Linked DNA regions of Elephas maximus indicus. The protein of the gene in region 2 interacts with the protein of the main gene of each other region in a biochemical or structural test. Links are inferred from orthologs where the notes say so. Each region holds a gene or a part of one and is shown on either strand. Other genes may lie near its edges. The genes, in order: FYN, MAPT, MARK1 and AKT1.

The links.
Region 1: of the proteins of MAPT (region 2) and FYN, one has a biochemical effect on the other in vitro, tested with the Homo sapiens proteins (10 studies listed by BioGRID and IntAct, with this or other methods). The link is inferred for Elephas maximus indicus from reciprocal best matches to the Homo sapiens genes MAPT and FYN.
Region 3: of the proteins of MAPT (region 2) and MARK1, one has a biochemical effect on the other in vitro, tested with the Homo sapiens proteins (4 studies listed by BioGRID). The link is inferred for Elephas maximus indicus from reciprocal best matches to the Homo sapiens genes MAPT and MARK1.
Region 4: of the proteins of MAPT (region 2) and AKT1, one has a biochemical effect on the other in vitro, tested with the Homo sapiens proteins (3 studies listed by BioGRID and IntAct). The link is inferred for Elephas maximus indicus from reciprocal best matches to the Homo sapiens genes MAPT and AKT1.

What each region holds. Positions count from the first base shown.
Region 1 is NC_064819.1:177,871,788-177,879,795, forward strand, and holds the start of FYN (tyrosine-protein kinase Fyn), read right to left. Parts: upstream 3,002-8,008; 5' UTR 2,911-3,001; intron 1-2,910. UniProt on the Homo sapiens protein: Non-receptor tyrosine-protein kinase that plays a role in many biological processes including regulation of cell growth and survival, cell adhesion, integrin-mediated signaling, cytoskeletal remodeling, cell motility, immune response and axon guidance.
Region 2 is NC_064837.1:52,646,411-52,653,443, reverse strand, and holds the start of MAPT (microtubule-associated protein tau), read right to left. Parts: upstream 3,005-7,033; 5' UTR 2,882-3,004; intron 1-2,881. UniProt on the Homo sapiens protein: Promotes microtubule assembly and stability, and might be involved in the establishment and maintenance of neuronal polarity.
Region 3 is NC_064842.1:10,067,645-10,075,374, reverse strand, and holds the start of MARK1 (serine/threonine-protein kinase MARK1), read right to left. Parts: upstream 3,016-7,730; 5' UTR 2,750-3,015; coding exon 2,699-2,749; intron 1-2,698. UniProt on the Homo sapiens protein: Serine/threonine-protein kinase. Involved in cell polarity and microtubule dynamics regulation. Phosphorylates DCX, MAP2 and MAP4. Phosphorylates the microtubule-associated protein MAPT/TAU.
Region 4 is NC_064828.1:119,089,300-119,097,149, forward strand, and holds the start of AKT1 (RAC-alpha serine/threonine-protein kinase), read right to left. Parts: upstream 3,017-7,850; 5' UTR 2,912-3,016; intron 1,530-2,911; exon of another isoform or gene 626-1,529; intron 408-625; 5' UTR 325-407; coding exon 279-324; intron 1-278. UniProt on the Homo sapiens protein: AKT1 is one of 3 closely related serine/threonine-protein kinases (AKT1, AKT2 and AKT3) called the AKT kinase, and which regulate many processes including metabolism, proliferation, cell survival, growth and angiogenesis.

The DNA.
Region 1 (8,008 bases), on a different chromosome or scaffold from region 2:
GAACATGAGAAAGAATAAAAGTCTATTGCTTTTGAGCCATTATATTAGGGGGGGCAGTGGGTTTTGGGTTACTTGCTAAATGGAATCCCTGGGTAATGAAAATGGTTAATGTGCTTGACTGCTAATGAAAGGTTGAAGGTTTGATTCCACCCAGAAGTGCCTTGGAAGAAAGGCCTGGTGATCTACTTCTGAAAAACCAGCCATTGAAAATGCTATGGAGCACAGTTCAGCTCTGACACACATGGGGTCACCATGAGTTGGAGTCGACTCAGCGACAACTAGTGGTAGTGATCTGTCAAACCTACTAACATGAGCCTAATTAATATGCAGTGCCTACTTTTTTTTTTTTTTTAACACATACCAAAGACTAATTCACACTAGAAACTACTGAGGTACCACTTGATAAGAGACAAGATAAATAAGGCCAGGTTCCTTTTCACGATGTGCTGACCAAGCAATGGTGGAAACACACACACCAAACATAATGTCTGCTATTGAAGCTTGAAAATAAAATAGTTCGGGGTGGACGGATACAGAGGAGGCACGATAACTTGTTTGGATGATATAAAATACGGAAGGCTTCACAGAAGAGATGACATTTAAGCTGGGCCCTGAAAGTTAAATAGGACTTTGCTAAGCAAGTCAGATGGGGTTGGGGATTTCAGACCCAGGAGAAAGCATGGAGCAAAAACACAGAAAGCAGAGTGTGGTTTTGTTCACACTCAGCCTTATGCAAGAAGTCTCTTTAACTTGGTCAAAAGAGTGTGAGTTTATTGTGCACTGACTCTCCTTCCTGGGTCTGGAATCAAACAAACAACCCTTTGTCTTTATAATACACTCATTAACCCATTGCTTTTTCTAATGTAAAAGTTCCACGATGAATGTCCTTAGAAAATGCAGAAGTAAACGTTTAATGAACCGTAACAGCTCCTTCCTAGTAAAAGTCTTTAAGAATAAACTTGTTCCATTACTTATAACAGTCAAGGAGCCATGTTCCTAGGAGTCAACACGTTCAACCTCAGCTTTGACACTATCCACTAAGCATGAAATAATCACTGGCTTACAAAATGGAACATAAGCCCCCAGATTTATATTACCATTTCCTCTTTAAGAGGAACGTCAAGCAGATGGTTTAGAGTTCAGTCAAAAGATTCTCTATATCCCTGTTCATATCTCACTGTCCCCAAAGCCTTAGATAGTTAACAAACCACTTCCTCTGAAAGTCCGTGGGTCTCTTCATCAGAAATCACAGTACCCATGGGGCAGGGACTGGGTAGAAAGAGAGCACAAAGGGTGGAAAGTATTGCAGTTGCTTGGGGGTGTGAGGAAGGATGTGGGCGTCTGAAGGCTACCCTGAAGCAGGGAAGAGACAGTCTCCAGCAGTCTTCCAAATGCCAATTCAATGCTGTTTTATTAATGTCCCTAGGTACTTATTTAAACCTAATGGTAAACCAGCATCACTGGGCAGACAAGATTCCTTTTCAAAAGACTTCAGCGCAGTGGCCTTAGACTTGGGAGAAGCAGCAAGTCAGGCTGCATCGCTCTTATCAAACACCAATTTAATTTTCTGACTTAGAAACAAAATTCTTCTGCTCCCACGCCAACTTATCGAACCCCAACTCATGGTACCCAATTTCAAAAAAAGAAGGTGGAGCTACCTAGAACACTAAAGCAACTCTTAAAAGACTGCTGTAATCATTTTCTCCTTGAATCTAGGAAACGCTGCAGCTGCCAGTCAACACTGCCGGTCCGTGAACACAGTAAAATGCCCCATGAACACAGCAAAATGCCGGCACCTGCCACCCTGCATCTGGGGCCTTTTATTTTTTGGTAAATGTGGCAGGAAAGACTCTCACAAAGAAGATCAACTGCTTCATCTGAGCGAAAGCGAAGCCCTAGGGAAGAGAAACAAGAAGCATCGGGCCCATCCTTGGGTACTTTGTGTGTCTCTTCTCTGTGCACTGAAAGAGCCCTTTGTGTCACACATACACACACACACCCGGGGAGCCTGTGTGATTTACTGGGGGAGGAGGGACAAGAAGGGTGATTTTATTATCCCTCTTCTCAACGAGTCTTAGCAATTCTCCTCCCTGGACCCAAGCTCGGTGGCCTCTTTCTGGTCCAGTCATCTCCGCCTGTGGCCGCAGAGATAAGAGAAGGGAGGCGACCAAACAAAAAAAACAGCCATCGATCCAGGGAAGCGGAGAGGAAATACAGCGATCGGCGAAGGGAGAAAGAAGCTTGAGGGAACAGCAGGAGTAGGGGGCAGAGAAAGAGGAGGGAAGGCTCCAGCACAGGGGAAGAGGAAGGGTGGGTGGGTGGGTGGGTGGTGGCACAGGAAGAGTGAAGGGGAGGATGGGGGAAGTACAAGGGAGGTGCCAGAAATAGGCAGAAGGATGCGAAGGGGAAGGAGACGGCCGCAGAGGGAGGAGGAGGCCGAGAGGTGGAGTGGGGCAGGGGTGGGGTGGGGTGGGGTGGGGTGGGGAGGGAAGCAGCACGGGGCATCAATTATTAAGTGATTACATCATCGCTGACATTAAAACAACACACACAGCCCTGGTTCCCGCGAGGGGCCCTGAAAGGAGGGCGGGGGCGGAGCCCGAGTCCCGGCCAGCCTCGCCCCCAAGCCAATTCCTATTCTCACTCGGCGCCGGCTCGCGGGCTGGGAAATGGGCCCCCATCCCTGCGCTGCCCCGCGGCGCCCTCCGCAGAGGTGTCCTCCCGCTTGGCCGCGGGAAGTCCCCGAGCACGGCCAGCTCCCCGGCAGCCCGCGGAGAGGCCGGGAGGCGGCGGCGGCCGAGGGACTGCAGCGCGGGGCCCCGCGGCGGGGGGGCGCGGAACCGGGGCGCCGAAGGCCGGGCGGCCCCGCAGCATCCCCACTGCTTCCCGCGCGCATCCTCGGCCGCTTACCTGCGCGGCGCTCAGGCTCCGGAGCCCATTCACATGGTCCTCTCCCCGCCCTCCTCCGGCGCGGCCAAGGCGGCTCCGGCGGCTACTCGGCTGGTCCCGGAGCCGGGGCGCCTTCCGAGAGAGCAGAGGGGCGGCGCCGGGGTTCCCCGGCCCGGCCGCCGGGTCCCTCTGTGGCGCGGGCGGCGGCTTTGTGTGAGCCCGGGAGCCCTCGGTGCGCGGGGAGAAGCGCCGCGCGCCCGGACGGCGGAGGACGCGCGGCTCGGAGAGCAGCCTGGCCTCTGCTCCGAGGCCGGCGGGCGGGCGGGCGGGTCTCGGAGGCCCTCGGCTCGCGGCGACCCCTCCTCCTCTCCCACGGCAGCCCCCTCCCCGCCGGCTCCGCTCCTGACAGATGGCGCAACTGCAAAGACGCACCGCCTGCTCGCAGCTACTCCCGCTGATGCTCGCGCCCCTCCAGCCCGGGAGGGAGGCGAGGAGGGGGCGGGACGCGCCGTGAGAGTGGCAGCCCCCGCTCCCCAATCAAAGGGCCCCTTGAGAGCTGCGGGCGGCGACCATTGGTTCCTGGGGCGGGGGCGGGACCGCAGTGGGTGGGGCGGCCGAGTGGGTACAGCGTTACTGTGGCAGCCGGCATCCTGGCGTGCGTGCCGTTGTGGGGTGTGCGACGGGATGAGAGGTTGGAGGAGTTTTTTGTTTTTAAAGGATTGTGGAGTTGTGAGGTGGTGGGTTAGGGCGGGGAAAGGAGAGGAGGTGTGAGCTGCGGTTTCTGCTTTATGGAAGGTTGCTGATGCCACTGCAGATTAGCATCTTCCATTCCCCCAAACATAGGAACCTGCCTCGAAAATGGGGTGCCATGCCTTTCTGGTGTCTTTTTGTTTAAGGGTCGGAGGATAAAATGCGAAAATGTTAGAGTAGGAAAGCGTTTCTTCTGGTCAAACTGAAAAGAGTACGGAGCAAGGTAGAATTCTACCACAGAAACTGGAAAAGCTGGGAGAACCCTGGAAACGCACACAGCAAATAATAACAACAGTAATAATAAAAACTAAAAAAAAAAAGTTAGGAATTAATATATTTGTCTTCCATTTTCATAGATATACTTACATATTTCTATTTTCAAACAAAAATCTCGAGGAAGTGTTACTGAAACGGGGAGAGAGGGAGGCTGTGACAAAGGAACCCACGATCACAGAGTAGAGATTTGTTTGTACATTTCTTCCCAAAATCATGTTTAATTGTAGCCAGTGGTTGTCTTTGATTTTCCATGGCTTTTTCCCTACACTGAATCTGAGCCTTTGCTCAGGTTTCCCTTGATGAAATAATAGCCGGTGTATAGTATACAGTGGTGGAGTGCATCAGTCTTTATTTCCTATCCAGCTTTTCTATGGCAGGATGTAACTTCATGAAAAGAAACACGTTGGCTTCCTGATTTTCTTCATAGGTAATTCCTGTTTACAGAAAGCTCTGCTTCAAGGCATGCCCAGAATCATTCTCCTTAACGATGTTGGCAAAAACTCTCCCTCCTCTCTCAGCAAAACTAATGCTCTAAGAAATATAAGTGAATCAACTTCTGCTTCTATGCTCAAAATCTATAATATTACCTTTCTTGCCCACTAATTAAAAAAAAAAATCAGTTGTGCTGACTCTTTTCTTTTTTGTACTCAGTAATTTTTTTTTTTTTTTTAAAGTTGCTAACACTTATCGAAGGATCCCCATTGTATGGATGAGGAAACTGAAGAAAAGAGAAGAAACTCAAGGGGATAGATGATACAGAGTGGTTACTACTTTTTGTTTTTGCTTTTTTCTTCTTAAACAAGCAAAAAATAAAACCATGTTTAAATTGTATGCCTGGTAATTCATTCCATACTTCCAAGAAATGGAACCACAGCTAGGTCTAGAAGATTTCCATACAAGAGAATGCCAACCTCATCTAGCCAAGAATTGCGTATCTCAAGAGAAGGGGCTCTTCTTCCTTAGTTCTTAGACTTCCATGACTGTCCTGGATTTATTTAGCCTGGGATTGGAGAGGCAGTTGTCTAGATCAATGTTTCTCAAACTTGAGGGTGCATCAAAATTATCTCAATGGGCTTGTTAAAACACAGATTTCTGGGCTCTATCCACAGAGGGTCTGATAATGTGTGTTTGGAATGGGGCCCAAAAATTTGCACTTCTAACAAGTTCCTGGATGCTGATGCTACTGGTCTGGAGACCACATCTTGAGAACCACCGCCACAGTGGTGTTCTGTCCAGTGAAGTAGCCATATATGTATGGTTAATGAGTACTTGAAATGTACTTGAGTACTTAAAATTTGACTAGTGGAAATTGAGATGTGCTGTAAAAAACACGCTTGACTTCTAACATTTAGCATGAAAAATAAGAATGTAAAATATCTAATAATTTTTATATTGGTTACATGTTAAGATGATGGTAATCTGTTTATACTGTTCTAAAGAAATATATCATTAAAGTTAATTTCACCTGTTTCTTTTATGTTTTTAATATTGCTGCTAGAGAATTTAAAATAACAGATGTAGGTTGCATTCTGTTTCTGTTGGACTGCACTGGTCTAGAGGAATGGAGTTGTTTCTGATTCCAGCTCTATAGTGCTCTGGTGGGAGCACCTTGATAAGCCAAGACACTTAACCCTTCTGAATCTTAGTGTCCTCATACATAAAATCGGTGAAATAGTAATCCTAATCTCACACTAGCCTCATCTATTACAAGAATAATCATTGTTAGGATGTAGTCCTCCTTGGAATTCCACATTAGACTCAATCTATTTTATATGAAATCTGGAGCAGGTGGGGTGTCATGGGTTGAACTGTGTCCCCCCCAAAATATCTGTCAACTTGGCTAAGTCATGATTCCCAGTATTGTATGATTGTCTACCATTTTGTCATCTGATGTGATGTGTTGTAAATCCTATGGCTATGATGTTATGAGATGGATTAGTTGCAGTTATATTGATAAAATCTATAAGATTAGGTAGTATTTTAAGCCAATCTCTTTTGAGATGTAAAAGAAAGAAGCGAGTAGAGAGATATGAGGACCTCATACCATCAAGAAAGCAGCACCTGGAGCACAGCGTGTCCTTTGGACCTGAGGTTCCTGCAGAGAGATGTTCCCAGACCAAAGGAAGACTGATGCATCACAAAGACCTTCCTCCAGAGCCCACAGAGAGAGAAAGCTTTCCCCTGGAGCTGGTGCCCTGAACTCAGACTTCTAGCCTACTGGACTGTGAGAGTATAAACTTTTCTTTGCTAAAGCCATTCGCTTCTGTTTTTTCTGTTATAGCAGCATTAGATGACTAAGACATGGGGCAAGGCAGCTCGTTGTTTATGACTTCTTCAAAAGGACTCAGTCACTTTTTAGCCTCTGCAACTCTAGCAGCTTCTTGATCTAATTAGTGGACGAAAAGAAGAGACAATGAAATTAAAATGATAGATTAACTTGCTCCCATCGAGACTTCATCCTGTTTTTGCAATTCTTTTCTTGCCTATCATTTTATCTGCTGGTCTTCTTAAATGTAGCTTTAAATGGATTTGGCCTCCTCGAGAGAATTTGCTAATGGTCTGAACAAGTGTATCCAAAACCAAACCCTTTGCAGTGGAGTGGATTCCAATCTGTAGTGACCCTATAGGTCAGAGTAGAACTGCCCCATAGGTTCCAAAGGCTGTAATCTTTTCGGAAGCAGACAGCCTCATCTTTCTCCTGTGGAGAGGCTGGTGGGTTCCAGCTACTGACCTTTGCAGTAAACGCTTAACCTATTGCACCACCAGGGCTCTTTGAACAAGTGTATAAACCAAAACCCAAACCCAAGTCCTTTCTGACTCAGCAACCCTATAGGACAGAATAGCAACCCTATAGGACAGAGTAGAATTGCCCCATAGGGTTTCCAAAGAGCAGCTGGTAAATTTGAACTTCTGGCATTTTGGCTAGCAGCAGAGCTCTTGCAACTATATGTTGTTGTTGTTGTTAGGTACCGTGGAGTCAGTTCTGACTTACAGTGACCCTATGTACAACAGAAGGAAACACAACCTGGTCCTGTGCTACCTTCATAATCATTATGCTTGAGCCCATTGTTGCAGCCACTGTGTCAATCCATCTCCTTGAGGGTTTCCTGTTTTTCATTGACCCTCTGCTTTACCAAACTTGATGTCCTTCTCCGGGGACTAGTCCCTCCTGATAACATGTCCAAAGTATATGAGACAAAGTCTTGCCTCCTTGCTTCTAATGAGCATTCTGGCTGTACTTCTTTCAAGACAGATTTGTTCATTCTTCTGGCAGTCCATACCCACCCAACCCAGTGCCATCAGTCCAGGTCCATGGTATATTCAATATTCTTCCCCAACACCATCATTCAAAGGGGTCAGTTCTTCAGTCTGCCTTATTCATTGTCCAGCTTTCACATGCATATGAGGCGATTGAAAACACTAGGTGCTTGGGTCTGGGGCAGCTTAGTTCTTAAAGTGACATCTTTGCTTTTTAACACTTTAAAAGAGGCCTTCTGCAGCAGATTTGCCCAATGCAACGCGTCTTTTGATTTCTTGGCTGCTACTTCCATGGATGTTGATTGTGGATACAAGTAATATGAAATCCTTGGCAACTTCAATTTTTTCTCCATTAATCATGATGTTGCTTATTGGTCCAGTTGTAAGGATTTTTGTTTTCTTTATGTTGAGGTGTAATCCATATTGAAGGGTGTGGTCTTTCATCTTCATCAGTAAGTGCTTCAAATCCTTTTCACTTTCAGCAAACAAGTTTGTGTCATCTGCATATCTCAGGTTATTAAGGAGTCTTCCTCCAGTCCTGATGCCATGTTCTTCTTCATATAGTCCAGCTTCTAGGATTATTTGCTAAGCATACAGATTGAAAAAGTACAATGAAAGGATACAACTTTGATGTACAACTTTCTTGACTTTAAGTCACACAGTATCCCCTTGTTCTGTTCCAATGACTGCCTCTTTGTATAAGCGCAGGTTGCTCATGAGCACACTTAAGTGTTCTGGAATTCCCATTCTCAATGTTATCTATAATTTGCTATGATCCACACAGTTGAATGCCTTTGCACAGTCAATAAAACACAGGTAAACAACTTTCTGGCAT
Region 2 (7,033 bases):
AAGAGAGAAGCCCCGCCTACTAGGGGTCGGGGGCGGGGAGGTGGTGGCCCTTGTATCCGTGCCCGGACGTTTCCGGAGGCGCAGCAACCGGCCCAGCGTTTCAGCGTCCGTTTAAACGCTGCATCCCTCGAGATGCCCCGGTGAGGCCGTTCGTTAACGCGCTACAAATCGCCGGCCGAAGGACCACACTCTGGCCCCTAAGATTCCTCCATGAGCAGCCCCCGGGCCTTGCCGGCTGGAGTGCTTCATCAAACCAACACATTTCATAATGGAGCGAAATCTCAGACGCGTGGACCGCGCTTTGTTCCCGGCATTGGGCTAAGTGCGCTACTCCCCGCCAGTTCCTTTTCCCCCAACAGGCAGGAGGTGGCATCTCTCTGTCTGCGAGTCGCCACGGGGAGCCGTGGCCGCGGATCCCCTTTCCCAGGGCCGCGGCAGGACCCTTGCTCTGTCTGCACGAGAATTCCGCCCCCAGAGCTGCCTAGCCGGGGTCCTGGAGCCGCTCTTCGATCAGCCCGCCGAGGGCCCAGCTCTGCGGGGAGGCCTCGCAGCAGAGGGGCGGTCTGACCCCAGTGGGCTCTGGACTCCGATCCAAGCCATTCCCCGGGAATTCAGGTCAATCTGGGCGGCCACAGCGGACGATTCGGCCATCTACTTCGATCTGTGCCCCAGGCCAGTTTGCAGAGACAGAACCAACCAGAAACCGGGCAGGCCCGCCTCATCGCACGTGTAATCACTACGAGGGCGAGGCTGGGACTTGCTCGCAAGGGGTCCCCCGTCCCTGGTTTCAAGGGCACCAGTGAACCAGGGCTTTTATGCGAAAATCCCGCACGTTTCTAAAACGATAGTCACCAGAACGGCCATAATAATAATAAAAAGACTACAGGGACGCCTCTCTGGGTGGCTGAGGCCGCCAGTGGCCAATAAGGAAGAGCCGTGGACCCCACCGCGCCATCAAAGGGATGGGGGGCGTGGCCCCGGCCTCCCCAGATCCTCAATCTTCGCGGGTAAGGGGCGGAGAACGCCCCATGGCCCCTTCCCGGGTCGCGTGTGGTTTCCATGGCAACCCCCACGTAGCTCCCCACAGTCCACTCGGAAAAGATGGATGTGGCCGCAGCACCCCAGAGAACCTCAAGCTCCCCCCCCCACACACATCTGCTCCGGGAGAAGCAACAGGGAGTAGAGTGGAGACAGCCCCTGCCTGCGAGCCCCTGCATCCCGGGGGATGGGGTCGCCCGCACCTCTCACTGTGCAGCCTTTTGGGGAGCGAGCCCCGGGACGCTCCGGGTCTGGGGAGCGTGGTCCCCCTGTGGCCACTGGCGGGGTGCGCCAACACCTCGAATTCCACCTCCTCAGCTCAGCGGATGCCTCTGGGGCTTGGCTGGGCTCCGGGAGGGGGCCGCGCGAGGACATGCCCGTTTCATGCGTGCCCCTGAGGCTGTGACTCGGGTTCACCGATCCCGGCAGACACCGAGATTCAACAAATGGCTCTGAAATGCAGGGGCGAAAAAAAAAGAGGCAGGGAGGCCAGGGGACTTGGCGAAACACCCCCCATAAACTAAAAGTCTAAAATCCAGGGCTGGGAGCGCAGATCACGTAATCCCTCCAAACAAAGCAGCGAGACCCCGAGAAAGGTCCTGGGTGATCGCCCCCAGTGCTCACGCCCGCAGCGGATAAATGCCAAAATGTCAGCGCCGACTGCCTGCCCCCCCTTTAAATAGCAGTCTCCGCCCTGCTCCTCCGAGGCCCAGCCACCCAGCCTGGCTTGGTACCGTACGTGGTACGCCGCAAAAAGATGGCACCTCGCGTTCTGAGGGGAAAAAAGCGGGGGGTGGGTAGGAGGAGGCACAACCCACCCTCCTCCTCCTCTCCCACCCGGATCCACACCCTCTGCCGCAGTGAGGGGCGAACCCTGCGCGCCAGCCCAGCGCCTCCGGCAGGGAGCGCACACGCCAGCCGCCCCGCGCAGAGCGCAGAGAAAGGGGCCCGCCCCGAAATGCACCTGCAGCCCCCGCGCCCGGCTGCGCGCGGCTGCGGCTGTGCGCGCCCGCGGCTGCGCGCGCCCAGGAGCAGGGACCCGAGGCCGCCGAGTTTGTCCAATCGCAAAGCCGGGTGACCCCTGCCTTTCCGAGCCTCCACACTGAGATCCGCGAAGCTGCTCTTGTGTCGGTGCCAGGAGTGCACAGGGGGAAGGGCAGCTAAAGTGACAGCTCCTGGACCCCTCCCCATCTCTCCGATTCCACTCCCAGCCCCCAAATGTCCCCTGCGGTTTCTGAAGGAAGAAAAGGGGGAGGGGGCGGGCCTCCGCCTTAAATCAGGGGCAGAGAAACCCCATTGGAATCGCTTCTGGGGAGACGCAGGGAGGGGTAGTCAGGGAGTCATCTTTTCTAGAACCAGACCTGTACCTTCCTTAGGGCTGCTGGCAAACGGGAGCAGAGAAATCAGATTACAGGTTCGGTTTCGGGGGTCGTCATTGGATCCCCACCTCCACATACACAGACATACGCCCATTGCGGCAAAAGGTGGCGTTCAAGAGTGTAGAGCAGCCCCCTCCCCAGGCCACCGCCATCCGCGCCCCACCCTGCGGGCACAGCCTCGGCCCCCGCCCGCGTGAAGCCGGACGTGCGGACCCCTCCCTCCTCAGCGCACACACACACACACACACGCAGTCACACGCGCGCGTGCATCCTTTGCACGAGTTCCTTTCCAAGCCGCCCTAGCCCCAGCTCCAGAGCGCAGAGGGCTCAGGGAGGGGCCCCACCTCTGTCAACCACTGGTGCCCAGTGCACGAAGCCCATCTCTGCAGCGGAGGGCGAGGGGCGGCCGCGGGGGGATGCTGCGGGGCCGAGGGGTAGGCAGATTTCGGAGCCTCGGCGCTTACCTGCTGGTCGACAGAGGTCGAGGACCGGAGAGAAGGAGAAGGTGGCTGTGGTGGTGCTGCTGGTGCGGGAGTCAGTGGGTGGCGGTGACTGCGAGTGCGCGCGCGCGCCGGCGAGAGGGCGCGCTCCCGAGGCCGGCGGGCAGCGCAGGCGCGAGCAGCGGGAACGCGAGCTTCCCCAGGGGAGGGGCGGGCAGCTAGGCCTCTGCCGGCGTCTTTTCCTCCGGCCACTAGCGGGCGCGCGCCAGCGCCCCACCGCTCGGTCTTTCCCGGCCTCCTTGCTCAATCCTTAGGCGGCTTCCTTCCCCGGTCCTCGCCGTCGGCATGCCTAGGGCCGCGGCACTGACAGCCACGCGCACGCGCGCTCGGTGGCGCACGCGCACTCCCGGCCTCCCGCCGCTGGAGCCTTTGTCTTTTCTGACGGGTCTCGTCCCTCGGGCAGGAGGCTCGGCGACCCTTTTCGGTCGCTGCAAGGCGGGCTGCTGCGGGCCCAGACCTACTGCCGCCTTTCTTCCCGTCATCCCGGGGCGGTGTCCCATCTCAGTGGATGTCCCCATGGCTGGCTCCCCATTGAGTCCACTCCGGACCCCTCTCCAAGGCTTCCTCCAGGCTCGCCCTACTTGTCCCTGACCTGGTGATCCCGACCCTTCTTCCCGGGGTCTCCCGAAATGATCCCCTTGTCGGAGCTCAGTTTCCCTGGGCCCGTTTCCTCTCTGCTTGCTTTCCACCTTTTTTCTTATTGACCAAGTGAATATTTTCCCTTAACAAATCTTACTGGCTAATTCAGCATTACAGTTTTTTTTTTTTTAAATAATGAATTTATTGTGTATAAATTGACCCTAGAAAAAAATCTTAATTTAGACGACATTCGAATGGTGCTTATAACATTGCAGAGCCTTTTTTTATTTGTTGAAACACCCGTGTACTGTAAGTAGAGTTGAGATCTGAATTTCTAAGTACCTGTTGGAGATTCTCACCTGGATACACACATTCTCCCGGTAACCCAGGCCCCAGGCCCTAGCCTCTGACCTTACTTGGATTCCTTATCCCCTAAAATGTAATTAAGCCCTGGCAGTGAGAGACTTTCTATGTAGGGGGTCAGGGACAGCCATCTCCTCCTAGGGGGGTGGGAACTTATCTTGAAACTTTATTTGCATAGCTTACATTCTTTAAAAAAAAAAAAAATGTGTATCATAGATTAATATAAAAAGCAAGTCACTGAAAATGCTTTATTAACTCGGATTTAATTTTTCCAGTTGCTGTCGAGTCGATTCTTACTCATGGCAACTCCGTGTTTGTTAGAATAGAACTGTGGTCCTCAGGGTTTTCAATAGCTTATTTTTCAGAAGTAAATCACCAGGCCTTTCTTCCGTGGACTCTAACCTCCAACATTCAGTTAGCAGCTGAGCAGTAACCTTTGGCAGCACCCAGGGGCTCCATAGGTTTGATTAACATATTATTGGCAGCAATGGGGGATGATGATAGGTACAAGAGGCTAATTCCATAAGTCTTTGTAAGTGACGTTATTGCTGTTCTCCCACCATCCGAGCTGTTCTGGACATACAATTTGTTGTTGTTGTTAGGTGCCATTGAGTCAGTTCCAACTCACAGGAACCCTATGTACAACAGGACGAAACTGCCTGACCCTGCGCCATCTTCGCAATCCTTGCTATTTTTGAGCCCATTGTTGCAACCACTGTGTCAATCCATCTCTTTGAGGGTCTGCCTCTTTTTTGCTGACCCTCTACCAAGCATGATGTCCTTCTCCAGGGACTGGTCCCTCCTCATAACATGTCCTTCAAACCCTAGCTCATAGTTTACTAAATCCATCCCTAATGACCCCAACTGGAGGGGATAGTTCCAGCTTCTGGAAGGAGTTTATCAGAGTTACTCATCTCTCTGGAAGTGTCAGGAGGGGTAAAGGGGGGTGACTAATATCTATCAGATTAAGATTTTATTATTGTCCCCAATTGTTTCTTCTTTTGTAGGGGTTATACATCCCCAGCCATGACTGCATGATCTGCCTTGCCCCAGCTCTCAGCTCCTCTGTTGATACTTGGCTTGGCCCCGAGGTGGTCTTCGGCAACTACAACTAGTAGATGTGAGATACACATGATATATACTTATCCCCTCCGTCACTACAGTGGCATGAACCCTTAGGATTACTTCTTCAGCCTAGGTTCCAGAATGAAAACACGCCAGAAAGCGCGTATTACATGAACAAGAAATAAACATTTGTTGTGTAAGCTGCTGAGATTTTAGGCAGGTCTTCAAACCAGTTTGTTCCAGTTCAAACCCCTGCTGAGAATTTACATTTCCACCCCAGATATACTGAATCAGAATCTGCATTTAACAAGATCCCTGGGTGATTCTTACGTATAATAAATTTTGAGAACCACTGCTCTACTAGTGGTTCTCAGAATCAGTCCCTAACCAGCAACATTAGCATTGCCTGGGAACTTGTTAGAAATGCAAATTTTCAGCAGGGGTTCAAACTGGAATGAACCAGTTTGAAGCTTGATTTTTAGGTTTGTTTATTACACCAGCAAAGCTGACCAACTCAGGGATTAAATGAGATAATTATAGATATCTTGTTTCTTGTGGGCTTTCATTAAATGATAAATAGTAGTTATTATTTCATCATCATTATCAATGCTTTTGCTACACATTACTTCATTTCTTTACGTAAAATAAATGGTAGCAGCCAAATATTCCTCCCCATTCAAATTTCTCATTTTCTTTCCTCTAAAATTTAGTATAATTGAAAACTGACAGAGACCTGTGACATTGTGGTCCCCTGATACTGAATGATCACATTTGCCTAATACTAAATTGAGATAATGGATGCTAGAAACAATCTTAAGCAGATCTGTCATCTGTTTGTAATGTGGAGTTGAGTGTTGCTTGCAGATAATTTAATCACTGTTGGTAGCTAATGCTTCACTAATTCAGGCCAAGAAAACGCATCCATACTCTCAACCCTCTCCCTTGCTGAAATAGAAATCTCCTGGCCACATGGAGCACACCCTGCCCGCATATAGAGAGCCATGGAAGGCAGAATGGCGTAGAGGAAAGAGAACTGGATTAGGTCTCAGGAGAGTTGGATCCTAATCTTAGCCATTTTGTCTGACCTTCGACAAATTCATTAACTTTTCTGGGCTTCAGTGTTTTATGTAATGGTGTCCTAGGTGGGGTTAGATCTGAGATACAGATACCTGTAGAATTAGGAAACTCTGCCATCAGATCTAATCGCATACTACATTAGTCACAGTAAACTAAGCTATTGTAACAAATAGACTCCAGAATGTAATGGCTCACTCAGGTAACAGATATCACTGGGCTAAAATCAACTGGGATTGTTAAGGGACAGGTACGTCAATCCTAGCCTGAGAATGTATATTAGTTTTATCACTGATATGAAAAATTACCACAAACTTTATGGCTTAAAACAATGCAAATGTACAGTTCTGGAGACCAGAGGTCCAAAATGAGTCTTATGGGACTAAAACATGGCATGTTGACAGAACTTTATTCTTTCTAGAGGCTCCAGGGGAGAATCCATGTCCTTGCCTTTTCCAGCCTCTAGGGGCTACCTGTATTCCTTGGTGTGCGGCTTCCAGCCAGCAATCGAATTATTCAGACCTCAGCTTCTGTCCTCAAATCTCTTTCTTGGACTCTCTTCTCTCCTTTCACCCATAGGGACTCTCGTGATTACATTGGACCCACCTGGATAATCCAGGGTAATCACTCCATCTCAAGATCCTGAATTTAATCACTTTGGCAAAGTCCGTTTGCCATGTAAAATAGCATATGCATAGGTTCCACGGATTGGGATGTGTGGACATCTTGGTGGGGAGGGCATTATTCTGCCTACCACAGAAGGACATGGTGATCATAACCAGAACTGAGATCCCCCAGAGAAGATGGCCTGGGTCATGCTGTCAGGTAAGCCCTTAGACCAGTAGAGGTGAAAGCTGAGGGTGAGAAGAACCTGGAATGGATAATAGGGGAGAGAGATGATGAGTATCAGTGATGGTCCCAAGACCTGTTACAGCTGTGGGGGTCAAAGGTTAATAAGGAGAACAAATTGTCCTCTTCTAAGGTTCCCCCAAGAAGAGAGGCCCACTGAAATCCTGAAAAATCTGATTCCTGAAT
Region 3 (7,730 bases), on a different chromosome or scaffold from region 2:
CCATCAACTAGGGAAGAAAGAGGCACGAAGAGTGATTCAACAGCCATCACTCGTGGTCCCTTCAATAAACACCTACAACTTATAAACCAAGTTAGCCCTAGTACAGAGTGTCTTCTACTGTATGCTATATTTGGGATTACATTTCTCTCTCCTGTACTCTCCTGGAAGGCACAGGCCTTGTTTTAAATACTTCTTCTGTATCCCTTCCAGCTGAAGTGCAGAGCTGACTGCATACCTATTGATTAATTAACAGCTATAGTTTTTTTTCTTCATAGTATAATAGATATTTGCCACGGCGAAGAAGAGAAAATGATGATGTGGGTAAAGTAAGTTACATGGAGGTGTATTTAAGTATAGGTAGTCCTCAGATTATGAACGAGTTCCATTCCTAAATCTGTCTTTAAGTCGGATTTGAATGTAAACTGGAACAGTTAGGTACAGTTCGTATCTGAGTTAGACAAATTGTTTGTCTTAGTATATAATGTGCCTTTCTATGCATAAAAAATGTTAAAAAAAACTTTCGGATATACTAAAATACCTTTGACATAATAATACACTAGTAATAATTATAGTGTTTTGATCAAGTAGCACATTTTTGTTATTACGAATCACTGCATGTACCTCCAATTTTTAATATACTAGGCTTTATGGGGGCTGGTTTGTAACTATGGGTCGTGAGTCTAAATCCGATGTTGGTAACCCTGGGACTGCCCTACAACGCAATGACAACTAGAGAAGAGACCATAATAGCGACTTGGAAATAACATGTTCAGGAACAGAGCAAATGAGTTTATACAACATAACCATTTTCAGGAGGCACTCACACAAAAAAATTATCCCACTATTACTGCTTAGATCAAAACCCCATTTTCTGGTCTTACATTCAATGCTTCATTTTGTATGATTATTTGATGCATATTCCTATATTGCTATCTCATGTCAGCATAATGTCCCTTATTCACACAAAAAGAGCTATGTTATTCAAGATCCAAAAGAAAAGAAAACACAAAAACCATGCATTTTCCCACCCCTCCTAGGCTGACACACAGTAATTTGCTAATAAACACAAAGGTCATCATCTTACTTTTCATCCACACTCCTAAATGACAGAAATGAATTTTTTGAGAGCTCCTGTTAGAAAAATTCTGAACCAACTTGGCTTTACAATCAACTTCAACCAAATTTTTCATCTTTTCCCTCACCTTCTTCAATCTCTCAATTGAAATTATCGATTATATTTTAAAAAACAACAGTCATGAGGCAAATTAAATCATAATTTGAGGGCAGCCTTACACTATCTTTTACCATTTTAAATGCCTGACACTAGAGATGACAAAATCATTCTGTGAAACATCTTATGAAGTATTCCTACAACGATCTCATGCTGAAATTAATTCTCCCTTCCTACAATTATACTAACGTTTCTGTTCGCCCCTACTCCCCAAGATTAAATATTTGTTTATACCCCCTCTACTTCCAAAGTGAGCTTGTGTCTCTTCTCTCTCACACCTTTTGTCTAAGAATGCCAAGCCACTCATTATTCTATTTTACTAACCATATTGGTACATCAAGTGCTGAAGGGCTGATGAGTTAACCAGACAACCTGAGAGCTCTGAAGAGCCGAACAAAACTTAGTACCCATCTAGCTCCTTAAAGCCAGTCAGAAAATCAGCAAAGGCCCTATTTACACGTCATGAGGACTTTGTTTTGTTTGTTTTGTTTCGTTTAGAAGAATGAGAGAAAAAAAAAAATCTTTCCCCCAAAGGAACTCACACACACATACAATCATACTTTTCAAAAGGTGGAAATACACCTGACCTCCTTCTCTGGGTTTTCAAGTGTTTAAACACCGGGGACATCTGCATCTTGATTAAAAAGTCCTGAGGGCTTTGTGATCAAAGACACAGAAAATCCTTCCTTCAAAGAAATGTACCTTGTGACAGACACTCCAAGAAGGAGGAGAGATATTTAAAGTAAAACCTGCCCTGAATGATCACCACTGACTTGAGGGTGAGGAGAAAAAGCCGTTGGCTTCATAGGGCTTTTAAACATTTTGCTGGAACCTCAAGGCCACAGAAGGTGTTCTTTGAAATTCTCCTGCTCGTACCCCCTGGAGTATCAGAGCAGCATAAACTCACACACACAAACACACACGTATTCTTCTGGCACTCCCGTCCCTTCCATTCCCCACCTTCCCTCTCGGGTGCCCACGACCCAACATGTGGGCACAACGTTACAAACAGCAAAGTCACGGGGCAATGCGGGGGGTGGGGGTGCCCAGAACTGAAAGATCCAGAAAAGCAAGGCCGGGAAGAGGTAGGGGGCTGGCTCGTCCGTTCGGGTACAACAATTACTCGGGTGGGGACACAGAATGCGGGGGTAGAAGGAGAGCAGTCCGACTGCCCACTCTGCCATCTCCTCTGCCTCGCCGCCTCATCACCCCATCCTCGGCCGGAGGACCACTCCGAGGGGGAGGGCGCCACTTACAGTGCCCCCGCCCTCCCCCTTCAGGGGAAAGCAGCCAAACGGGGCTGGGACGAGGAGCGGGGGCTGCGCAGGGGGCGAGGGCTGCGCCGGGCTCAGGTGGAGACCCTGCCTCGGTGGCCGCGCTGGGGGCGGGGAGCGGCCGGGCCGAGGGCGAAGCGGGGGTCGGCGGAGGGCTTCGGCCGGCCGCTCCCGGGAGGCTCCGGTTACTCACATTCTCCGTGTCCCGCTCGTTCACCGTTGGCAATGGCGTCCGGGCCGACATCTTGTGCGGGCGGCGGGTCGGGCCGGGGTCTCGCCGGCAGGCTGGGTGCGGGGCCCGGGGACGAGGGGAAGGGGTGCAGACGCGAGCTCGAGGCCGGCGCCGGGCCGGGCGAGCGGCTCCCGCAGGCCGCGGGCGCTGCAACCAGCGGCCCCGGCGGCGGAGAGCGGAGAGAGGACGCGGAGGGAGAGGAGGGGAGCCGCTTCCCGCGGCGGCGGCGCCGGGGGACGCGGGCCGGAGCGAGGGCGGGCTCCGGACGAGGGCGGGCGCCGGCGCGGGCCGGCGGGATGCGGCGCCGAGGCCGGGGGCGGGCAGCGGAGCCGGGGGGCGGTGTCCGGGCCCCGCTAGGCTCCCCGGGCCATGGCCGAGGGGGAGCCGGCGCCTCCAATCACTGCCGGGCTCGTCCCGGAGCCGCGGCCCTGACAGCGCCGCCCGCGCCGCGCTCCCTGCTCCGCGCCCGCTCAGGTGTGCAGCGCCGCCGGCCGAGCCGCAGCCACGCGCGCGGGGCCCACGGCGGCGGCGCCCCCGCTCCCGGAGCCCGCGTCCCGGCCGCCCGTCCCGCCGCGCTCCGCGCTCCCCGCCGCCGCGCCTCTGCCGGGAGGAGCGGCCGAGCCGGCTGCGCGCGGAGCGGCGGGCGCGGCACGCAGCGCCCAGAGGCACTTGGCGGCCGCCGCCGGGTGGGCGGGCGCCAGCCGAGGGGGCCTCTCCATTCATTCCCTCATTAGGGATGCGGGGCCGCCTCCCTCCTCCGCCCGCGTCTGCGGCCCGCGAGTCCCAGTGTTTATTTTTGCTTCTCGCCCCACCCGCGGGGTTTACGGGCGCCTCAGCCTCTGGTGATTTTATTTTTAAACGTGTTTGGTTTTTGCGGGGTTTGGGTGAGAGGGAGCTGATGCAGAGAAGCGGCTTTTTGTCGGTTCCACCGGGGAAGAACTGGGTATAATCCTACTGGATCCTACACCTCCTATATCCTACCTCGGGACTTTGCCCATTCTGAAATTCTCCTCCATCCGGGTTCGCACGCTGTCTCAGTCCCTGTCCTGTCTACGCCCTTTCTCCGTCCCCTTCTCCAGGGAGCCGTGGGGTTCAGGGTCACACTAACAGCTGGGCAAAGGGTGCTGCCAGCAGCCACGGAGGGGTGCTCAGCCCAGGCAGCTCGCCGAGGCGCCCCGGACGGCATAGCCTCCTTGGGAAGGTGGCCAGCGGAAGAGGTCGCACGGCTGGCCCTACAGCACCCCCAGAGAGGGTGAGACCCGGGAGTCACAAAGGCTACATTGGCTGGTCGTCACTTCCTGGGACACAAGGAAGTGTCACTGAGGCGAGCTTGTGTAGGGAGGGAGGAGAGCTGTCCCTGATTTGGGCCCTGTGCTACCTCCTCCAGGTGCCTTGCTCGCCTTTCCTGCAGCTCATTGTAGTGCACGGTCTACGGTCCATTAGCTCCTTAGGGCTATGGTGTTCCTTTCTGTCTTACTTGAGAGCTTAGATTTTGCACGCTCTTACCCTCCAGGACAAAAACCTTCCCATCTCACTAGTCCAGTATTTCTTTTTCGCTTCCTTTCATGGGTAGGCAGGAAGATGAAAGGAACAATAGATAGAAGGATGTAGATCCAATTTTGGAGCTACTTCCGTAAGCCTCCGATGGGAACCTTAAGACGATGGGAAATTCCTCCTCTCCCCTGAAGTTCCTCCATGTCAGGGAGGAATCTCTGTACCAGATGGTTTTTATTCTGAATCATTAAACGTTGTTTCTGAAAAGTTAACACTTGACCCTTAAAACATGTCCCAAAAGACCTAAAAAAAGCAAATACAAATATCCTCTGACGGGAAAAAAAACTCACTCAGCATATATTCCTTTCTAGAAGTAGCACAATAGTTAAAGCGCTGGGCTGCTAATGGCAAGGTTGGCAGTTCGAACCCCCTAGCCGCTCCCCAGCAGAAAGATGTGGCAGTTAGCTTCTGGAAGGATTTACAGCCTTGTAGATCCTATGCGGCAGTTCTACCCTGTCCTACAGGGTCCTTATGAGTCGGGATTGCATCTACTCCAGGGCAGTGGGTTTGGGTTTTTTGTTTTTTTAGAACACCGTCTATGTATTTACTTATTTAGCATTTTATCTCGTAAACATTTCTCAGCTTCACAAAGCAAATAAAAATCACAAGACCCTTTGGGTGTTCATCACCACTCCTCAAACAGAATTCAGGCTTTGGAAGAGTAAGGCTGCATCCTGAGTTACGGTGTGCAACTGGGAATACCAAGCTTTTACACTCCCTCTGTGGAGGTCCTGATTCAACAAGATGTACGGAAGCTGCCAGGGCAGAGGCTGCGCTTTAACGGCCCTGATCAACTAGAGCCACGGCTGCCCATAGGGGCTACTGGCGCAGTGTCAGCCCCACCACTCACTGCTGCAGCCACGCAAGAGTACCTTGTGTTACAACAGTACCTGTGTTGACCTGGGAATAGACAAGTACCTGTAAAAGGAGGCTCGGCCCCATTGGCATATAAATCATTCCTTAACTGCTCACTTGAACTTTGCCTTTCAAAGCACGCTCACCTATTATAATGTTACCCTTACGGTGACCCTCACAGGCATATTTATTTCCACTGTACAAAATCCCACTCAACTGACTCACTCAAGATCACAAATGCATCAGGTTACTGAAGAAGAGAGCAGGAATATGTGGCACTGTTCAATCGTGCACCAGGCACAAGACCCAAAGGTTCACCCCTGTAAGGTACAATGGCCAATTAGAGACAGAGCTTGAAGGAGAGACCGGGATTCTAGCCCAGTGGCTTCTGCAGACTGTCAAGTGTACATGAGAAATCCTGGGCAAATCTCTTAGCTATATTGGCCACACCGGGCCTTCGCATATTGAAACTTATGGAATATTAGGTAATAAACAATGAGGGATACTTATTTTAAAAAATCAACACACTTGGGAAAAAAGCAATTTGGAATAAGGAAAATTCTATAATAATGGAATTGCATTCAAAGATAGTCGTTACTGGGAAACTCAAATCCGTAATTCTAGCTAGCAAAGTATACTAGAAACAACTCCATCTGTCCAAAAATGGTGTTCAAATAATCCCTTTTCATACCCATAGCTTTAGGCTCGGTGTATAATGAAACAAAATGAAAATGCGCTTTGTATAGGTTAAAAAAAAAAAAGCCGTTGGGGTTTTTTGAGGAGTTATTGAATGCTTCCCCATGTGTGAGCTCCCTTCCGCTCAAATCGACATGAAGCAGTACTATGGTCGCATTAAAACTGCTTAGCCACAGACCTTAGTGATATGAACGCTCACGAGCAAAATTGCCTTGTTACTGTATAATGCTCCGTGTGTCTGTGACTGTGAAGAAATGGCAAAAGAAATATTCTGAATTATTTTCCTCAGTATTGTTAACTAATGTGGCATATTCAACTCAGAGGCTTCTAACTGGGTGTTGCTAATAGTTTGTGCTGGGCTACTAACCAAAAGGTTGGTGGTACAAACTCACCCAGTGGCACTGCAGAAGAAAGGCCGGGTGATCTACTTCTGTAAAGATTGCAGCCACCGAAAACCCTATGGAGCACAGTCCTACTCTGAAACATGTGGGCTAGACATGAGTCGGAACCCACTCAGTGGCAATAGTTTCAGTTTGGTTTGGTTAACTGGGTGGTGCAAAAGGTTAATGCCGTGGGCTGCTAACTGAAGGGTTAGAGGTTCCAGTCCACCCAGAGGCACGTCGGAAGAAAGGCCTGGTAATCTGCTTGTGAAAAATCAGTCACTGCAACCTCATGGAGCACAGTTCTGCTCTGACACGCATGGGGCCGCCATGAGTTGGAGTCAACTGGACAACTGGTTTGGTTTTTGTTTGTTTTAATTTAAGGTGTTAGGGTAATAAAAGTTTCGGAAGAAAATCGAAGTACTGAGACAATAAAAGAGAAATCAAGACTACAAGGTGCTAAACATACACACTGAAACGTGCTAAAAGAGCTTTGCTCCCGTCAGCCCTCCAGACCTGCACGAGCCAACGCAGTAGGCACTAGCCGTACATGGCTAGTGAGCACTTGACGTGGAGCTAACCAAGGGGCTGAAGTTTTCATTTTATTTTTTTAAAAATTCAAATTTTAAAACTGACATTTGATTCAGTTATTGGAAAAATTTTAAGTATATTTGAAAAAGCTTTTCAATCTAAATTTTCTAAAATCTTAATAAAACCAAAAAAAACCTGCTGCCATTGAGTCAATTCTGACTCATAGCGACCCTATAAGACAGAGTATAACTGCCCCATAGGGTTTCCAAGAAGTGGCGGTGGATTCAAACTGCTGACCTTTTGGTTAGCAGCCGCAGCTCTTAACTGCTATGCCACCAGGGCTACGATATCGAGTATTTCCGATGAAAATTTAGCATCTGAGTTGCGATGTGCTACAAGTATGAAATACACACCAGATTACATGTTGAAATGCTAATATTTTTGGATATATTTGGTTAAATAAAATATTAAAATTAATTTCAACTATTCTTACTTTTTCAAATGTTGCTACTGAAAAACATAAAATTATGTATGTGGCTTATATTATATCTTTGTTGGACAGCATTTCTTTATAAGGTCAACATTTATAATGAAGAGGTTTAACTACTGAAGGAAACCCTGGTAGCCTAGTGGTTAAGGGCTACAGCTGCTAACCAAAAGGTCGGCAGTTCAAATCCACCAGGTGCTCCTTGGAAATTCTGTGGGGCAGTTCTACTCTGTCCCACAGGGTTGCTATGAGTCGGAATCTATAGATGGCTTTAGCTACTGAAGAATCAAGGGCCTTTATTATTATTGTTGTTGTTGTTGTTGTCAGGTGCCCATTGAGTTGATGTGGACTCATAGCAACCCCATAAGTAGAACTGCTCCATAGGATTTTCTAGGCTGTAATCTTTATGGGGAAACCCTGGTGGTGTAGTGGTTAAGTGCTGTGGTTGCTAACCAAAAGGTCAGCAGTTCGAATCAATCAGGCACTCCTT
Region 4 (7,850 bases), on a different chromosome or scaffold from region 2:
TTCCAGGAATGCCAGGAGGCAAGCTGGCAGCAGCTCTCCCACCCCATGCCCCAGCCAGGACGCCACTCAGAGGCCGCCCTCTCCGGCTACACGCTAAGTGGGGCCTCACTGCCCCTCATCTCCGGCTGGGCCCTCCATGCCGACACGCTAAGCTGGGCCCAGGACAATCCCTGGGGAGGAGCCCCTCAATCCCCAGGCATCACGTGCCACCCATGGTGCCTTCCAACCCCAGCCCCCAGGGCACGCATAGCCCCCAGCCCCACAGGGGGTGTACTGACCTCTCTTGTGCAGCCACCCCTCCTTCACAATGGCCACGTCGTTCATGGTGCTGGGCTCCGGTGGGGACCCCACGACACTCAGCTGCTCCTCCTAGGCAGGTCTCCAAGCCCTGGCGGTGCCCACAGCCACTGCAAGACAAGGGACCTGCGTGAGGCCGGCTCCTCTGTCCCCGTGATCTCAGCAGCTGGCTCATCTCTTGCCCGCCAGCCTGACCCACCCTTCTTGAAGATCAGACCCCACTGCCATCCCCCCACCACCGTCCCCTCTGTTGCCCCCACCTCCCCTGGCCCTTGTACAAATCACTCCCATCTCCCAAAGGCCCTCTGGCTTATCCAGCTTCCCTAACCTGCCAACCCAGCTGAGAGGTCGCCTCCTCCAGGCAGCCCTTCGGACTGCTTCAGCCCATGCCTCCCCAAGCCCCTGATCACGGGTACCCTGTCTGTTCTCCTGGCCCATGGGGTTTCTGCCCACAGGCTGGGGTCCCTGGGGCAGGGCACAGGGCCCCTCCTCCCTGTCCCTGAGACCTGGAAAGGAGAAAAGGTCAAACGTAACAAAGGCAGGGCCAGGAGTGCAGGCAACTTGTGAAAATGAGAGCCCAGAGCTGCCCCAGGAGACATGGAAAACCTCCCCTGAAAACCCCCAGGCCCCTCCTAAACCACAACGCTCCTGTCCGTCTGAATCTGGCTCATTCATCCTGTCGCCAGGTACCAGGCATCTCTGGTTTTGCCAGGCCCAGTGCTGGGGCTTGGGACAAAGAGAGGTTCAGACAGACCCTGTCGGCAAGGAGCACCCAGTCCAGGGTGGTTACAGACCCATAATTATAGCATTCAGGAGGCAACAAATAGGGGGGTGGGGGGACTGCACAAACAGCAGTGGCACTGGCGCCCATCCACAGCAGCCCACCAGCCAGACCTCACTGGAGTAGACACTTCAGCCATTGATCCTGCATGCTCTCCCCCCTCCCCCCTCACCCCTGTTGGACGAACTCCTAGGCATCCCTCAAAACCCAGCTCCCACGTCACCCACTCTGGGCATCCCAGGAAAGGGCACTTGACACGATCGTCCTGTGAGCAGTCCTCTGCTACCCTTCCAGATGGGCACTCCCAAAGTGGGCCTGGGAGACTCCTCAGGGACCACCAGGCTGGGCAGAGGACCTCTATGGAACTGATCCCCACTTGGGCACCAGCTCACCCCACGGCAGGGCCTGGTAGCTTTGCACTGATTGTCTTAAGCTAAATTGAAAACAGCAAAAAAAAACCTCATGCCATGTGATATCAGGGCAGAGAAGCCACCCCCACCCCCACCCCCACCCCCCCGCCCTCCATCCATCTGAGCAGTAGCTGCTGGGACTCAGCAGGTCCACCTGCGGTGCTCAGAAGAGAGGCTGATAAAGATATGACCAGGAAAGAGGAGGGGCACAAACGGCTCTATGAAACCCACGGCTAGGGATCTCGGACCGGAGGGGGCATGGCCTGGAGGCAGGGGCTGGACTCAAAGACCTCTCCGTGCCCGCCTTGCGCCTGAGCCCCGAAGGGAGCCGGCCCCAGGGCCTGTGCTGACAAAGTCAGACAGCTGCTGAGAGCTCGGGGCTCCAGTGTGTAAAAATACATCTGTGCACTCACAGGGTGGTGTGTCGACACTGAGAATGTGCGCCCCAAACCAGCCACCGGACAGCTCTGAGCCAGGCCAGCGGGCGGAGGGATCCACCATACATGTGCTGCCGCGACTGTCTCAGGGAAGCCGTGTTATTGCTACTGCTGTTGTTATTGTTTAAGTCACACTTTAAAAAAAAAACAACCTGGGCTAGGAAGAGGCTCCCCCTGCCCCGCCAGAGAATGCTAGGTTTTGAACTGTGTGTTCAGCTGGGGGGCGGGGAACCAAGCCCCCACTGCAGCACCCGCCCTACACGTGGACCAGGGGCTCAGATCAGTCAACAGCGGCCACTTGGAGCAAGGCTGGGGCCCCCCGCGCGGAGTAAATGTGGGGGCCCTGAGGCCACGGAGCACAGCCCCCGCCCTGCCCAGGAGGGCAGCACTCAGAGCCAGGAGGAAGATGCCCAGCTCCCTCAGGGAGCCCCAATGTGAGGCGACAAGCCCCAGTTGCCCTCCAGGCCCGGCCCTGGGATGGGTGGGCAGTGCCCCCGCACCCACTCGGGACAGGAAGCCGGTCCGGGGCCTGGAGGGAAGGTCGGGCCCGGGAGAGGTTAGGAGCCTTTGTGGGCTGGCCTGGGCACCCGGCCACCACGGGCAACTTTGTCTCTGGGAAAACGAGCCCTTCTTCCCGCGGCCCACCCACAGACGCGGACGCGGCGGCGGGCCGAACCTTCCCCCAGGCCGCCTGCGCCCCCGCTGCGCGTCGCGCCTGCTGGCCGCGCGCCCAGAGCCCCGCGCCCCGACCCCCGGCCGCGCAGGCGGGCCCCCTCTCCCGGCCCGGCCCGGCCCCAAGGTCATGCGGGGACCCGGCCCGCGCCCCGGGCCGGCGTGGGCGCCTCCCTCCCGGCCGCCCCGCGCCCTCCGCGCCAGGCCGCGCGCTCCCGGCCACTTCCTGCTCCGCGCCGTTCCGGCCCGCCCGCCCGCCCGCCGGCGCGAACAAAGCCCCGCGCGGGGCGCATCCGGGCCGCGGCGGGACTCACCGGGCCGCGCGTCGGGCGCCAGCGAGCGGGGCCTAGCCGGGCCGCGGCCTCCGGCGCCCGCCGCTCCGCATCCCCGCCCGCCGCGGCCCGGCGCGGGGCAGGTCCGGGCTGGGGCCGCGGCCGCGGGCGGGCGGCGCTGTGCTGGCGGCCTCGCGGAGCCGCCGCGGGCTCGGTGCTCCGGCCGCTCGGTGCTCCGGGCTGTGCGCTGGGCCGGGCCGCCCGCCGCGCTCGGTCCTACCGCCGCCCGCGCCGCGACCCGCCCTCTCCCCGCCCCGCGCCTCCCGGAGCCGCCCGCCCACATCCGCCTCCGCCGCCCCCGCCGGCCGCCCCAGCGCGCCCGGCCGAGGAAGCAGCCCTCCGGCGCCCGCTGCGGGGCCAGCCTCTCCGGCACCGTCCTTCCGACCTCAGTTTCCCTGTTTGCAAAGTGCGCCCGCACTTCCCGGCCCGGAACTGCCATGACCCTGTTAGGACGGGCGGGGGAGGAAGGTCAGGGACGAATCCTGGGGATCTGCCTCCGTGGGGGGCGTCGGTTTGACTGTCAGCGGTGCCCTCGGGCCCAGCCCCACCCTGAAGGGGGGACAAGAATGTCCAGAGAGGCCCCGTTCCAGCAGCCCTGTCCAGCGGGATGGGGGCCCCAGGAAGTCCTGTTTGAGGCGGGCCTTGAATGCGGGCTGGAGTTTGGACAGGCTTTGGGGGGAGGCTGACATTCCTGTGTGTTGAAGGCCCACCGTGCCCCTGGCCATGATCTGGGCCTCCATTAACCGGAGCCAGGCCCTCAGTGCCTACAAGGGGCTTCCAGCAGCCCCCCTAGGAGGAAGAGACTGAAGCGGGTAGTTCCAAAAGGGAATGAAGGAGGGGGTTCTGCGTGGTGACAGGGGAGAAAAGGGGTCTCAGGGCCCAGATAGAGGACATCCAACCAGCACCTCCCAGCTCATGGGCTTCATTCCTCATACCTGTCTGGCCACCCGGTCCTGAGCTGGAGGCAGACACCCAGAGGAACTGGGGCTCTTGTGGTGAAGGGGGTACAGACTCAAGAGAAGGGCTGTGATGGTTGGGATGGCTCACAGCCCAGAGGGGGGCCCCGTGTAGTGTCCTATGCCTTGGGGCCCAAGCCCCCTCCCCGCAGACTGGGAACACCTGGATGACTCACCTGCAGACACTTGTTCTCTGGGCCAGTTTCTCCAACTGACTCCCCACCCCGAGGCCTCCAGTCGATAACAACCCTTTTGTGAAAGGAAGACTCTTAGGAGCCACCATCAGGGGTGGTAAGTATTTGGGTGGGGGGGGGTCATTTTTGTTTTTCATCCAGGGTCAGAGTTCAGCCCGGGCTGGAGGGAGGTGTGGACACTCACTCTGGCCAGAGGCTCACCTGCAGCCAGGTGTAGCCAGCCGTGTGCCCGGGACGAGGCTCTGTCCACAGCAGAGATATGGATCCACCCCTGCCCCTCGGGGCTGGACAAGGGTAGGACGCCCCTCAGAGAAGGGCAGGGGGCTCCCAGCTCCCAGCCTCTCCCCTTAGCACCTCCGACCCTCCCTCTTCCCCCTTCCCCCCAGTACAGCTGTCCCAGCTCAGACCATGTAGACTCCGGGCAGGGCCCTGCATCCAGGGGCCCAAGTCATAGGTCTCTGTTGCCTGGGCTGGATGCTGACCAAGGATCCCCCAGAGCCGGCGGGTCCCACGTCTGTCCATCACTCACCATTCACCCAACAAACACTCATGTGGTCCCCTAGGTTCCTCTGTCCCACCTGGACACTGCTCCCCATCTCAGGAGGAACGTCCTACCTGTCCCCTCACCCCCTCGGGGCTCAGCAGAGGTGGAGGAGGGGAACCCGCTGAGCCTGGGCAGGCCAGGTAAGCACTGCCAGGGCAGGAGGGTGCCCTGTCGCGGAAGAGGTGTGATTCCTCAGGCCACTCATCCACTGGCCATTTGGGAAATGGCTTCATCACAGGGATCCACAATATCCCAGCGGCTGGTGGGGCCCCAAGAGGCCTCCCGCCTGTTCCAGCCCTGAGCACTGCCCCAGCTCATGTGCACCTCTGCCTGGGCCTGTCTCCCCCATGACTTGGCACTCCAGCAGGCAGGCCAGTCCCACCTCCTCTGGCCTCCTCGAGGGAAGGACGGCCCCCTCCCCAATTACAACAAGAGAGCAAAGCTCCGTCTAACTCCACTGGCCACTGCCAGGCCACCTAGGGCTCCTTGGCCAGATGTTTCCATCAAGAACTGCCTCACACCCTCCCCTCTGGAGGACACTCCACCTGCCCCTCCCAGAGCAGGCCTCCTGCCCTGTCACCCCTGCAGCTGCTGGCCGTCAGGGGGCACCTCGCGGGGCAGGCAGCCAGGCTGCTGCTAGTCTTGGTGGCAGCTGCAGGGCGGGGCCTCTGGGCAGTCCCCAGGCCAGATGGTGGCCCAGCCTGCGCGTTGCGTCTCAGGAGGCTCTGCCTGGGCCGCCCACTGACCACTGACTGGGGTTCTCGGCCTCCTGTCATGCCCGGACCTCACCCACCTGGGAAAGGATCCGAGGTCCAAGGCCAGCGGGTACCTGATGCCCATGGGGCACATGGTGGTAGCCTTGACACCTGGACTTCTTGGACAGTCCCTCCCCCACTACGGGGGCTTTGAACTCAGACTTTCAGCATGCCGGGCTTCTCTCCCACTCTCCCCTAATCAGTAAAGTCCTTGCCTCCTCCAACCCAGCCCAGGGTTCCTGCAGGCAGGTCCCCACCTGCCTTGACCTCCCCGCCCCGCACCCCACAACCCGTCAGGTCCCAAAGGAGCTCCTTGTCCTGCTCAGCTCGCCCCCACCCCACCCCAGGGCCTCACTCCCAGGCCTGAAGAGGGGCTGTCAGAGCCCCGTAGAGGGGCCTCCCTCCTCCCCCTTGGGCACAGGGGCGAGGGCCAAAGGAAGCAGCACAGGCAAGGTGGCCAGGAGCCACAATCTCCACACCAGGGAGAGATTTGACAGTGAACAAAATGGTACCTTTCAGCGGGCAGGGGAACAGGAGACCACAGATGTACAGATCCATGACATGAAGTCCCCAAAGAAGACCAAGGCAGAGGGATGGGCAGTGCAGACCGGCGCTGGGGAGGTTGATCTCAACCAGCAGGAGATGACATGGGAATACAGACCACTGAAGAGCCAGGAAGGACTAACTGGGGAACAACCTTCTGGAAGAGCCTGCTACCTGCCTCGCAAGGCATTTAATCTGCACAAAGACCCCCTGAGGGGCACTCATTCCCATTTGGCAGATTCAAAGAGCTTCCAAGGGTCTTATCCCAGGCCCGGTGGCGCAGAGGTAGGCTTGTCCCACTCTGAACTTGACTTTGAATTCAGCTCTTCCTGCTGAAGGCTGAGGCAGGGGGCAGGGCTATTTCAACGGACTGAGGGAGGTGTCCCCAGACTGGAGGGCGATGGGGCCAGGGCACTGCTGCCCCTCTGCTCTTTCGGGCAAGTGACTCCAGGGTTGGAAGCTACAGCTGCCAGATTTAGCACATAAAAACACAGGCCACTGGGACGGATTTTAAGTTCAGAGTTTTAGTACAAGTTTGTGCTTTCTTTCCACACACAGGAGATAAAAACCGCACTCAGGTCTATCACATTGCTGAGTCCCAGAGCCCCTCAGGCCCCCAAACCACTGGCTTCCAACCAGACCCCTCCCCTTGCTCTGGTCCCTCCTGGCGGGTCCACAAATCACAGCTGTTCACCTCATCCCCCCAGGCTCCTGACTTCTCCCACTACTTCCTCTCCCCAGATCCACTGGGCGGGGGTCCATCCTTCTAACCTGGTCCCTCCTCCAGCGCAGCCCCTACCCGGGTCTGGATAACCACACCACCCTCTTCACCTCCTGGGCTCCATGAAGTGCAGAGTGGGACTCAGAACCAGGCTGCCCAGATTAGAACCATGGTTTGGGGCTTCCCCTCCACTGTGTGGCCCTGGGCCCCTCACCTAACCTCCCACCAAAACCGGAGTTGGACGAGCACAGGATTGAGTGATCTCGAGAATGACATGAGTGGTGGGGACAGACAGCTTAGCCGGTGCCTCCAAATGGGTCCGGTCGAGGGCACTCCTGGTCAGGTCCTTGACCAGCAGCACCTCCCAGTGGGACCCCAACCTCTTCAACCCCCACCCTTTTCTGTGGGGGTTTCCATCTCCCACAGACCCGGGTGTCTCTCACACCTTCACGCCGGCTCCTCCCACCTGGAACGCCCAGCCCCCTGGGTGCCGACTCCCTCCCGCGGCTGCCACTCCCCACCCCCCAGACTTTCCTGCCTGCCCTGGGCTTCCAAGGCGCTAGGGCCTCCCTCCGATTCCACCCCACCCCGTTTTGCTGGGACGTGTCCTGTACCCCATGCCGCCTTGGCAGCAGTAGAGGCTCGCTAGGACCTGCTGCGGGGTGGGTGTCCATGCTCTGGGCCGCCAAGGTCGAGATCCCACGTGAGTGTGCGGACGAGTGTCCCACCTGAGATGACATAAATTCACAAGAAGACTTCCCACGAAGGGATGAAGTCGTTTCAGTTTACAGCCCTGCCCCCCACGCGCCCCCTCCCCGATCCCAGCCCTGGCTCCCCGCGTGCTGCCAGGAGGCTGCGGTCCGGGCTGCGCCCTCGGGTGACTGTCCCAGAGCGGACTGGGGGAGGGGATGGCCCTCGGAGGGGGACCCTTTGCGGCCGGGCGCGGCCAGGACCTCAGGGCGACACGAGGCCGAGGCGGCAAGTATCGCGAGAGGGTCCCCTCCCCGCCGCGCCCCGCCCCCGCCCCGCGGGCCCCATCCGGGCGGGGCGGCAGGGGGGCGGGCAGGGAAGGGGCGGCGAGGTGACCTCAGCGGTTCCGCCGCTCCGGGAAGTCGCCTGGGTCCGCCCCCTCTAGCCCCGGCCTCGAGTCCTCTCCCTCCGGGGCGGGGCGAGCGGCTGGGGGGACGCGCCCTGCACCCCGGGCCCCG